Macaca mulatta: one gene and its partner. The protein of the gene in region 1 purifies or fractionates together with the protein of each later gene. This does not show direct contact. Links are inferred from orthologs where the notes say so. Each region holds a gene or a part of one and is shown on either strand. Other genes may lie near its edges. The genes, in order: MAP4K1 and NUDC.

Region 1 (3,806 bases):
CTCCTGAATAGCTGGGACTACAGGCGCGCACTACCACATCCGGCTAATTTTTGTATTTTTAGCAGAGACGGGGTTTCACCCTGTTACCCAGGCTGGTCTCAACATCCTGACCTCAGATGATCCCCCCCACCTTGGCCTCCCAAAGTGCTGGGATTACAGGCGTGAGCAACCGCGCCCAGCCTCTACGGTCATTTTGTAGGTCAGGTGCTGATGAGATTGTCTGGGGTCTCTTATAGGATCAGATGATACTGAGGGTCTCTGGTGGCCTGATGGTAAGGGAAGGGGGTCTCTTAGGTCTATTATAGGGTCAGGTGTCCCCAGAGATAAGGATTCTCTACTCACGACAGCAGTCTGCATCTGGGATCCCCAGAGAGCTGGAGCGGTGGGTGGATCTGATCCGCCGAGGGATAGCAGGGGGTAGCTGGGCAGAGGGGCAGCCACGTCAGGGCTCAGGACCCCCAAGCAGCCCCCTACCCTGCCCGGGGTCCATCTGCTTTCCTGTAACCCTCTGGGCACACAGCCTTGTACCAAGCTCCCCATCCTCCCTGCCTGTTCTCCCCCTAAGAGAGGCAGCGGGAAGGCACTGCCCGCAGCAGGCACAGCCTGAGAAAGACCAAGCGGTCCCCAGTGCTCTTGTCAGCCAAGGCGCTCACCTCGGGCTCCTCATCCTCAATGTCCCCAATGGAGGGTCCTTTCCCAGGATTCTTCAGTTTGTCAAGAAGATCTAGGATCAGGCCTCGATTCAGCCCAGGCTGGGATACCAGTTGATGCTGGGGGAGGGAAGAGGTGTCCATATCCAGAGGGCTGGAGTGGATAGAGAGGGCTGGTATGGACAGAGAGGGCTGGTACAGGGCCTTGGGGACTGGACTAAAGGAATCTAGCTGGGGAGAAGGTGCCAGTGGATGGAGAGGGCGGGGAAATCCAGGGAACTGTCAGAGGTCTGGGGTATTCTTTTTTTTTTAAGACAGAGTCTCACTCTGTCACCCAGACAGTGGCACACTCTAGGCTCGCTGCAACCTCCACCTGCTGGGCTTAATTGATTCTCCTGCCTCAGCCTCCCAAGTGGCTGTGATTACAGGCTCATGCCAACATGCCCAGCTAATTTTTTTTTTTTTTTGAGACAGGGTCTCTCCCTGTCACTCAGGCTAGAGTGCAGTGGCGCAATCCTGGCTCACTGTAGCCTCCGCCTCCTGGGTTTAAGTGATTCTCCCACCTCAGCCTCCCAAGCAGCTGCGATTACAGGCGCGCGCCACTACACTCGGCTAATTTTTGTGTTTTTAGTAGAGACGGGGTTTCACCATGTTGGCCAGGCTGGTCTCAAACTCCTGACTTCAAGTGATCCACCTGCCTCAGCCTCCCAAAGTGCTGGGATTACAGGCATGAGCCACCGTGCCCAGCCAGCCTGGGGAGTCTAAGAAATTTTTAGGAATTAGAATTTACATTTCTCAGAGCAGGGCTGGGAGAATTCCACAGTTGTCTTGGAAGAGACTGTGGTTCCCTGGGGATTCAAGAGGACACTCAGGAACAAGTCTTGAGTCCTTTGGGAATTTGTGAGTTCTGGCAACTCAGGGGATTTGGGAAAGTTTTGGGGTATAGCCCAGAGGGTCTCTAGTGGTGGACGGTGGTCCTGGGAAATTCTGAGGCATTAGGGACTTCGGAAGGCCACGGGGACTCCGTGGAACGAAGTTATCCATGTCCTCGGGAGTTGTGGAAGGCCCCGGGGAATTCTGGGCTGAGGGGAATTCTTGGGGAAGGGAGGGTTACACTGAGCATCTTGGTGGCGCTGGGTCGTTTCTTGGGGCTCTTAGTCAGGGTGACTTTGATGAAGTTGTGGAAGGCAGCGGACCTTGGGAAGAAGAAGCCAGGTTCTGGGTGAGGGGACCAGAGACCCTCCCATCAGGCCACCCAGCCCCAGCCCCGCCCTCGCTCACCCTCCCTCCTGTCACTCTCTCATACCATTTGCCTTTTTCCTTCATTCGGGGAGGCTGGTAGCCACTCTTGGTCATGAGGAAGAGAACTCTAGAATAGTAGGGAAAGGATATGGAGTTCAGACCTTCAAGGGGGCCAGACCTCATGGCTTGAGGGGTTCCTAGTAGCATTACGGTCAGCAGAGGGCAAAGTGAGAAACAGCATGGAAGTGAGGTTCGGGTTTTACAGTGCACCAGGATACCTCTCCTAAGGGAAGCCGCTTATGGCGTGGTAGAGCTACGGCAAGGCCAGGTGCAGTGGCTCATGCCCGTAATCCCAACACTTGGGGAGGCCAAGGCGGGAGGACAGCTTGAGCCCAGGAGTTGGAGACCACCTGGGGCAACATAGTGAGACAAAAAAAAAAAAAAATTTTTGGCCGGGCGCGGTGGCTCAAGCCTGTAATCCCAGCACTTTGGGAGGCCGAGACGGGCGGATCACGAGGTCGGGAGATCGAGACCATCCTGGCTAACACAGTGAAACCCCGTCTCTACTAAAAAAATACAAAAAACTAGCCGGGCGACGTGGCGGGCGCCTGTAGTCCCACCTACTCGGGAGGCTGAGGCAGGAGAATGGCGTAAACCCGGGAGGCGGAGCTTGCAGTGAGCTGAGATCCAGCCACTGCACTCTAGCCTGGGCAGCAGAGTGAGACTCCGTCTCAAAAAAAAAAAAAAAAAAAAAAAAAATTTTTTTTAATAGCTGGATATGGCAATGTGGGCCTGTAGGACCAGCTATGTGAGAGGCTAAGGCAGGAGGATCATTTGAGCCCTGGCATTCAAGGCTGAAGTGAACTACGATGGTGCCACTGCACTCCAGCCTGGGTGACAGAGCAAGATCCTGTCTCTAAAAATAATAATAATTAATTACTTAATTTTTAAAATGGGCGTGGTGGCTCACACCTGTAATCCCAGCATTTTTGGAGGCCAAGGCAAGTGGATCACCTGAGGTCAGGAGTTCGAGACCAGCCTGGTCAACATGGTGAAACCCCATCTCTACCAAAAAATACAAAAATTAGCCAGGTTTGATGGCGCTTGCCTGTAATCCCAGCTACTTAGGAGGTTGAGGCGGGAGAATCACTTGAACCTGGGAGGCAGAGGTTGCAGTGAGCTGAGATCGTGCCACTGCACTCCAGCCTGGGTGACAAGAGTGGGACTCCATCTCAAAAATAAATAAATATATAAAAATTAAAATAAAAGATAGGCTGGGTGCAGCGGCTCACGCCTGTAATCCCAGCACCTCGGGAAGCTGAGGTGGGCAGATAATCTGAGGTCAGGAGTTTGAGACTACCCTCGCCAACATGGTGAAAACCCATCTCTACTAAAAATACAAAAATTAGCCAGGCGTGGTGGTGCACACCTGTAGTCCCAGCTACTTGGGAGGCTGAGGCAGGAAAATAGCTTGAACCCGGGAGATGGAAGTTGCAGTGAGCTGAGATTGCGCCACTGCACTCCAGCCTGGGTGACAGAGCAAGACTCAGTCTTAAAAAATAAAAAATAAAATAAAATGTTAAATTAAGTTTAAAAAATAGAGCTGCAGCATGTGCCAAGGTAGGCTCAAGTGGCGATCCCTGAACTGGAGGTTCCTGGGATGGAAGGCAGAAGCTGAGGGTGGGCTTTGGGCCAGGGCCGGACAGGATCTCTGGGCCTGGGGACCCCACACCTGCCTACCTGAGAGGGTGCACATCGAAGAGCGGTGGCTGTAGCTCGGCCAGTTCGATGGCCGTGATACCCAGGGACCAAATGTCACATAGCTCATTGTATCCTCCCTTCAGGGCCACGGCTGCCACTTCTGGAGCCATCCTGGGGGGAGACACACTCAGAGAGCCAGAGGTGGCATGGGGA
Region 2 (4,384 bases), on another chromosome or scaffold:
AGGTTTTCAACAGACTGGTTTCAACCCTGGTTCTCCCATAGCTCAGCTCAAGACTTTGGATAAGGTGCAAAACTCTCTTGAGCCAGTTTCCTCAACGGGGATAGTTAACACCTGCCCCTCTTGTAGAACTGCAAAAATCATGGGAAATAAGGTAGATAGAGCGCTGAGCAAGGAGTGGAGACCGAAGAAATGACAGCTTCCTTCCCTTCCCCAACTCCTCACCTCTGACATTTCGCTTCTGCTGAAAGTTAGTTACTATTATGCCAAAGGAAGACCAGGTGAGTTTTTCTTCTGAAGAGACAGAGCTGCCGAAAAGAGAGCAGTTTCCAACACTTACCTTCTCTGCCATCCCCTCTTCTCCTCCAATGAAAAAGTCTGTTTTGCGTCGAAGGAAGCTGAAGAAGGTGTTCACAAGCTGAAAGATGGGGAGAAGATTAAAGGTGTGGAGCTGCCATTTGGGAGCCCTTCAAGTGCACACAAGTCAACTTCTTTTGTCTAGGAGGCAACTTGGGACTTGACTATTTTTCCTCTGAGCCTCCCAACTGAGGAGACATCTCCCCAGCAGGTTCTCTTAGTTACTTCCACCATGAAGCAGATTTCTCATATCCTGTGTGAGTGTGCGCGTTTCATTTTCCTTGTGATGCCTGAAGCAGCCTAAGTGTATGCAATACTCCTCTGCATCCAGGGCATGAAAAGCCCAGGCCCAGCTTTAAAAACCCCATCAAGACACCGGCTCACACCTGTAATCCCAGCACTTCAGGAGGCTCAGGAGGGCGGATCACTTGAGGTCAGGAGTTTAAGACCAGGTTGGCCAACAGGTGAAACCCCACCTCTACTAAAAACACAAAAATCAGCCGGGTGCGGTGGTGGGCAACTGTAATCCCAGCTACTTGGGAGGCTGAGGCAGGAGAATCACTTGAACCCGGGAAGCAGAGGTTGCAGTGAGCCAAGATCATGCCACTGCACTCCAGCCTGGGTGACAGAGTGAGACTCTGTCTAAAAAAAAAAAAAAAAAAAAAAAAAAAAAGACACTAAGTTACTGGGTCAAAGCAAGACGGAGGAGAGCAAATGAAGCACTTCAAAGGAGGATAAGATGGATTAACTCTGGCTGGAGTACAAGTGTAGCCAAGGGTTTGAGTATCTGACGGACATATATTACCTTTTGACTTTGCAGAAGTTTCTTAACTCTGTACAACAGGAATAAGATGCAGTACCTATTTCTAGGGACCTGGTGAGGATCATGAGGTCATGGAGTTGAGGCCTTCAGCCACGTATGGCACAGAGCAAGAGACCCACTGGCAGAGGGTAAACACCTTACAAATAGGACCATGACCCATGGCTTAGTCTATCTGCCACCTGCAATGCTGGGCACCAGATAGAGCTAAAGGTACATGCTCAGTAAAATTCTTGCTGAATGAAACAATCTAGCGGTGACCTAAAGTCAGCACACACAAGCCCTTTATTTGCCCAAGAGTGGGTCTAAATCTGATGAAATCTGACGCTAGAACATATATCAGTGATTTCCATTCTTGCTTCTAGACACTTTTTCAGTTTGTTCAAAAATGAACTCACTCCCAAATCCAGTTTTGTGTAAACAGTTTAGAGGAATGGAGACAGGAAGGCTTTTCACACTTCCAAATTAGAAGCACTCTCCCCACCACAAAGGGCTTAGAAATCCTTGGTCACCAGACACCTGGGTTACATAGCAATAGAAAGTTCAATGGAAACCTACCTCCAGTGAGACACAATCAGCCATGGACTCTGGGAAGCACACTGACCTGTCCAGGTGAGGACCACGCTGTATGATCTAGGCAAATCCCTGCCACTTTTCTGGCTCTGAGAATGACAGTTCTGATCCTGACGGACTTTTCTACCTCTAACTTTGTGTTTGTTCCAAAAAAACCAACTCCAGAATCTGGAACAGTTGGCCCTTATTATTCATACACTGTGTTACCGTGTCTGTCACTGTGCACGAATTATCTCTTTGAAATGCTCTTTGTAAGCTCTATCAGGGCGAGGACAAGTTTTTGTATCCCCAGTCGCGTTGAGTGTGGGACACACATTAATCACACGACAAATACTTGTTGAATGAAAAAGCCTTATTACTGAGAACTTACGGTACTTCACTACTCTCGGGAAACCGGCATTCGCAGCTGTCTCACAGACAAGGAAACTCAGGCTTGGAGAGATGTAAAGGTTCCAAGTTGGTAGGTGGTGGAAACTAATCGTGAACACAGGCCTCCTCTCCTATTCCCCCATTCAAGGCCTAACAAGACCACGTGCTAACATCACCCCGCGCCCCTACCACACACATTCGACGGCTCGCCCCAAGCCTTGGTGGATCCAAATCACTATATTTGGCACGGTTCTTACTAAGGGATGCTCCTCGGAAGACGCCATGAAAGTGGAAACGGGGTTGGGGGTATATGTGAAACTAAAGGGGAATCCTAAGCTCAGGGACGCGATAATTGCTACTACTGAGGGGCGCCGGGGGCCCAGAACTGATGCGAACCGGGTGAGACCGCCAGCGGGTGGCCAGGCCGGAAGCTGGGCGCGGTGAGAATGTGGGGGCATCCCAGAAGCCCGCGAGCCCCAGGGGTGGGTCTCAGCCCTGGAAGGCAGAGAAGGGCGGAAGGAGCTTGGCCAGGGCCGCCGGATGGGCCGACGCCGCGCGGACCGTTACCTCCTGCACGCCGCCCTCGTGCTGCTGAGCCATGGCCAGCAACATGCCGTCGAACCGCTCCTCCTCCTGCTCTCCGCCCATCGCGCCGGCTCCGATCCACGTCCCGAGCTCTGCACTCTAGTCCCGCGCTCTCTAGGCTCCTTCGGATCGCGCCGGGCCCAACGACTCTAGTCGTCCGCCTTCCGCAGCGGAGCCGGAAACACGCACCCGCGCGGCCCCTGCAGGCCTGCCTCCTCCTCCTTTCTTCCCGCCTTCTTCCCGGCTCGCGGCCATTGACCGTGCGGCAAGCAACCCGCTTCGCCGACCATTGGTCGACATTCTGAGCCAATCAACAAGCGCGTCCACGAAGCGGTGGGCGGAGCCGTGGGCTTGAGAGTTTGGCATGAGTTGCTATGGTCACCCGATGCCGTGGAGACTTCTAGAAAGCCCTGGACTCAAATCTGGCAGAGTTGGAAGTTAAAAAGGGACAAGTTTTGCTCCTCTCCCTTGCTAGTGACCCCCCAGCTTGTAGAACAGTGAAGCTGAAAGTAGCCTTACTCATCTCTTCCAATCCTAGAAGGGACTTACCACAGGACAGCCTCCTTCTCATCGACCTCATTTCATACTTGACCAGGGCCAGCTTCATGGGAGTAGAAATTGCAGTCGCACAGCACCCAGGCTTAGAAAGGCTCCACGCTTGATTTAATGCTTTTCTGTTGTAGTCTTGAAATTCTTAATAATTTTGGAATAAGGAGCCCCACATTTTCACTTTGCACAGGGCCCAGGAAATTATGACAGGTGCTGAAATTGACCTTCACTTCTGTTAGTGCAGGGACAGGACCCAGCCATCCAAGCTAATCCCTCCACTTTTGCAATGAATCTCATCATCTTAGTCTTTTCAGGAACTCTATGCCTGTTAATTATCCCTTTTTTAGCTTCTGCATCACAAATACCTTTATTCTTCCCTTCAATTTACAAACATGCCTTAATGTCTTTTTGTTTGTTTTTAAAGGTGCGGGTCTTGCATTGTCACCCAAGCTGGAGTTCAGTGGCGCCATCATGGCTCACGGCAGCCTTGAACTCCTGGACTCAAGCCATCCTCCCCACTTCAGCCTCCAGAGTAGCTGGGACTACAGGCTCACACCAAGCCCTGCTTTTTTTTTTTTTTTTTTTGGGTAGAGATGGAGTCTGTGTTGCCCAGGCTAAGTCTCAAACTCCCGGTTTCAAGCACTCCTCCTGCCTCAGCCTCTCAAAGTGCTGGGATTACAGGTTTGAGTCACCATGCCCAGCCCTGTTTTTATATTATTATTCCATGACCCCACTTTCTTCTGCTGCTACCTCCCCAATTTTCAGCTCTCATTTGCAGCAAGCTTGTTTGCTTGTTTCTCTACTCCCTCACCTTCCATCTCTCTACAGTTTATTCTAGTCTATCCATTATTATTGTTATTATTATTTTAGACAAAGTCTAGCTCTGTCGCCTAGGCTGGAGTGTGATGACACGATCTCAGCTCACTGCAACCTCTGCCTCCCAGGTTCAAGTGATTCTCAGCCTCCCAAGTAGCTGGGCTTACAGGCACCACCATGCCCAATTAATTTTCTTTTTTTTTTTTTTTTTTTTTTTTTTTGTATTTTTAGTAGAGGGGCTTTCATCATTTTGGCCAGGCTGGTTTCAAGCTCCTGACCTCAAGTGATCCACCTGCCTTGGCCTCGCAACACACTAGG

The links.
Region 2: the proteins of MAP4K1 (region 1) and NUDC purify together in Homo sapiens (affinity purification with mass spectrometry; 3 studies listed by BioGRID and IntAct, with this or other methods). This does not show direct contact. The link is inferred for Macaca mulatta from reciprocal best matches to the Homo sapiens genes MAP4K1 and NUDC.

The regions. Positions count from the first base shown.
Region 1 is NC_133424.1:49,699,206-49,703,011, forward strand, and holds part of MAP4K1 (mitogen-activated protein kinase kinase kinase kinase 1), read right to left. Parts: intron 3,765-3,806; coding exon 3,633-3,764; intron 2,020-3,632; coding exon 1,957-2,019; intron 1,847-1,956; coding exon 1,765-1,846; intron 771-1,764; coding exon 654-770; intron 422-653; coding exon 343-421; intron 1-342. UniProt on the Homo sapiens protein: Serine/threonine-protein kinase, which plays a role in the response to environmental stress. Appears to act upstream of the JUN N-terminal pathway.
Region 2 is NC_133406.1:214,057,548-214,061,931, forward strand, and holds the start of NUDC (nuclear migration protein nudC), read right to left. Parts: upstream 2,879-4,384; 5' UTR 2,765-2,878; coding exon 2,684-2,764; intron 416-2,683; coding exon 338-415; intron 1-337. UniProt on the Homo sapiens protein: Plays a role in neurogenesis and neuronal migration. Necessary for correct formation of mitotic spindles and chromosome separation during mitosis. Necessary for cytokinesis and cell proliferation.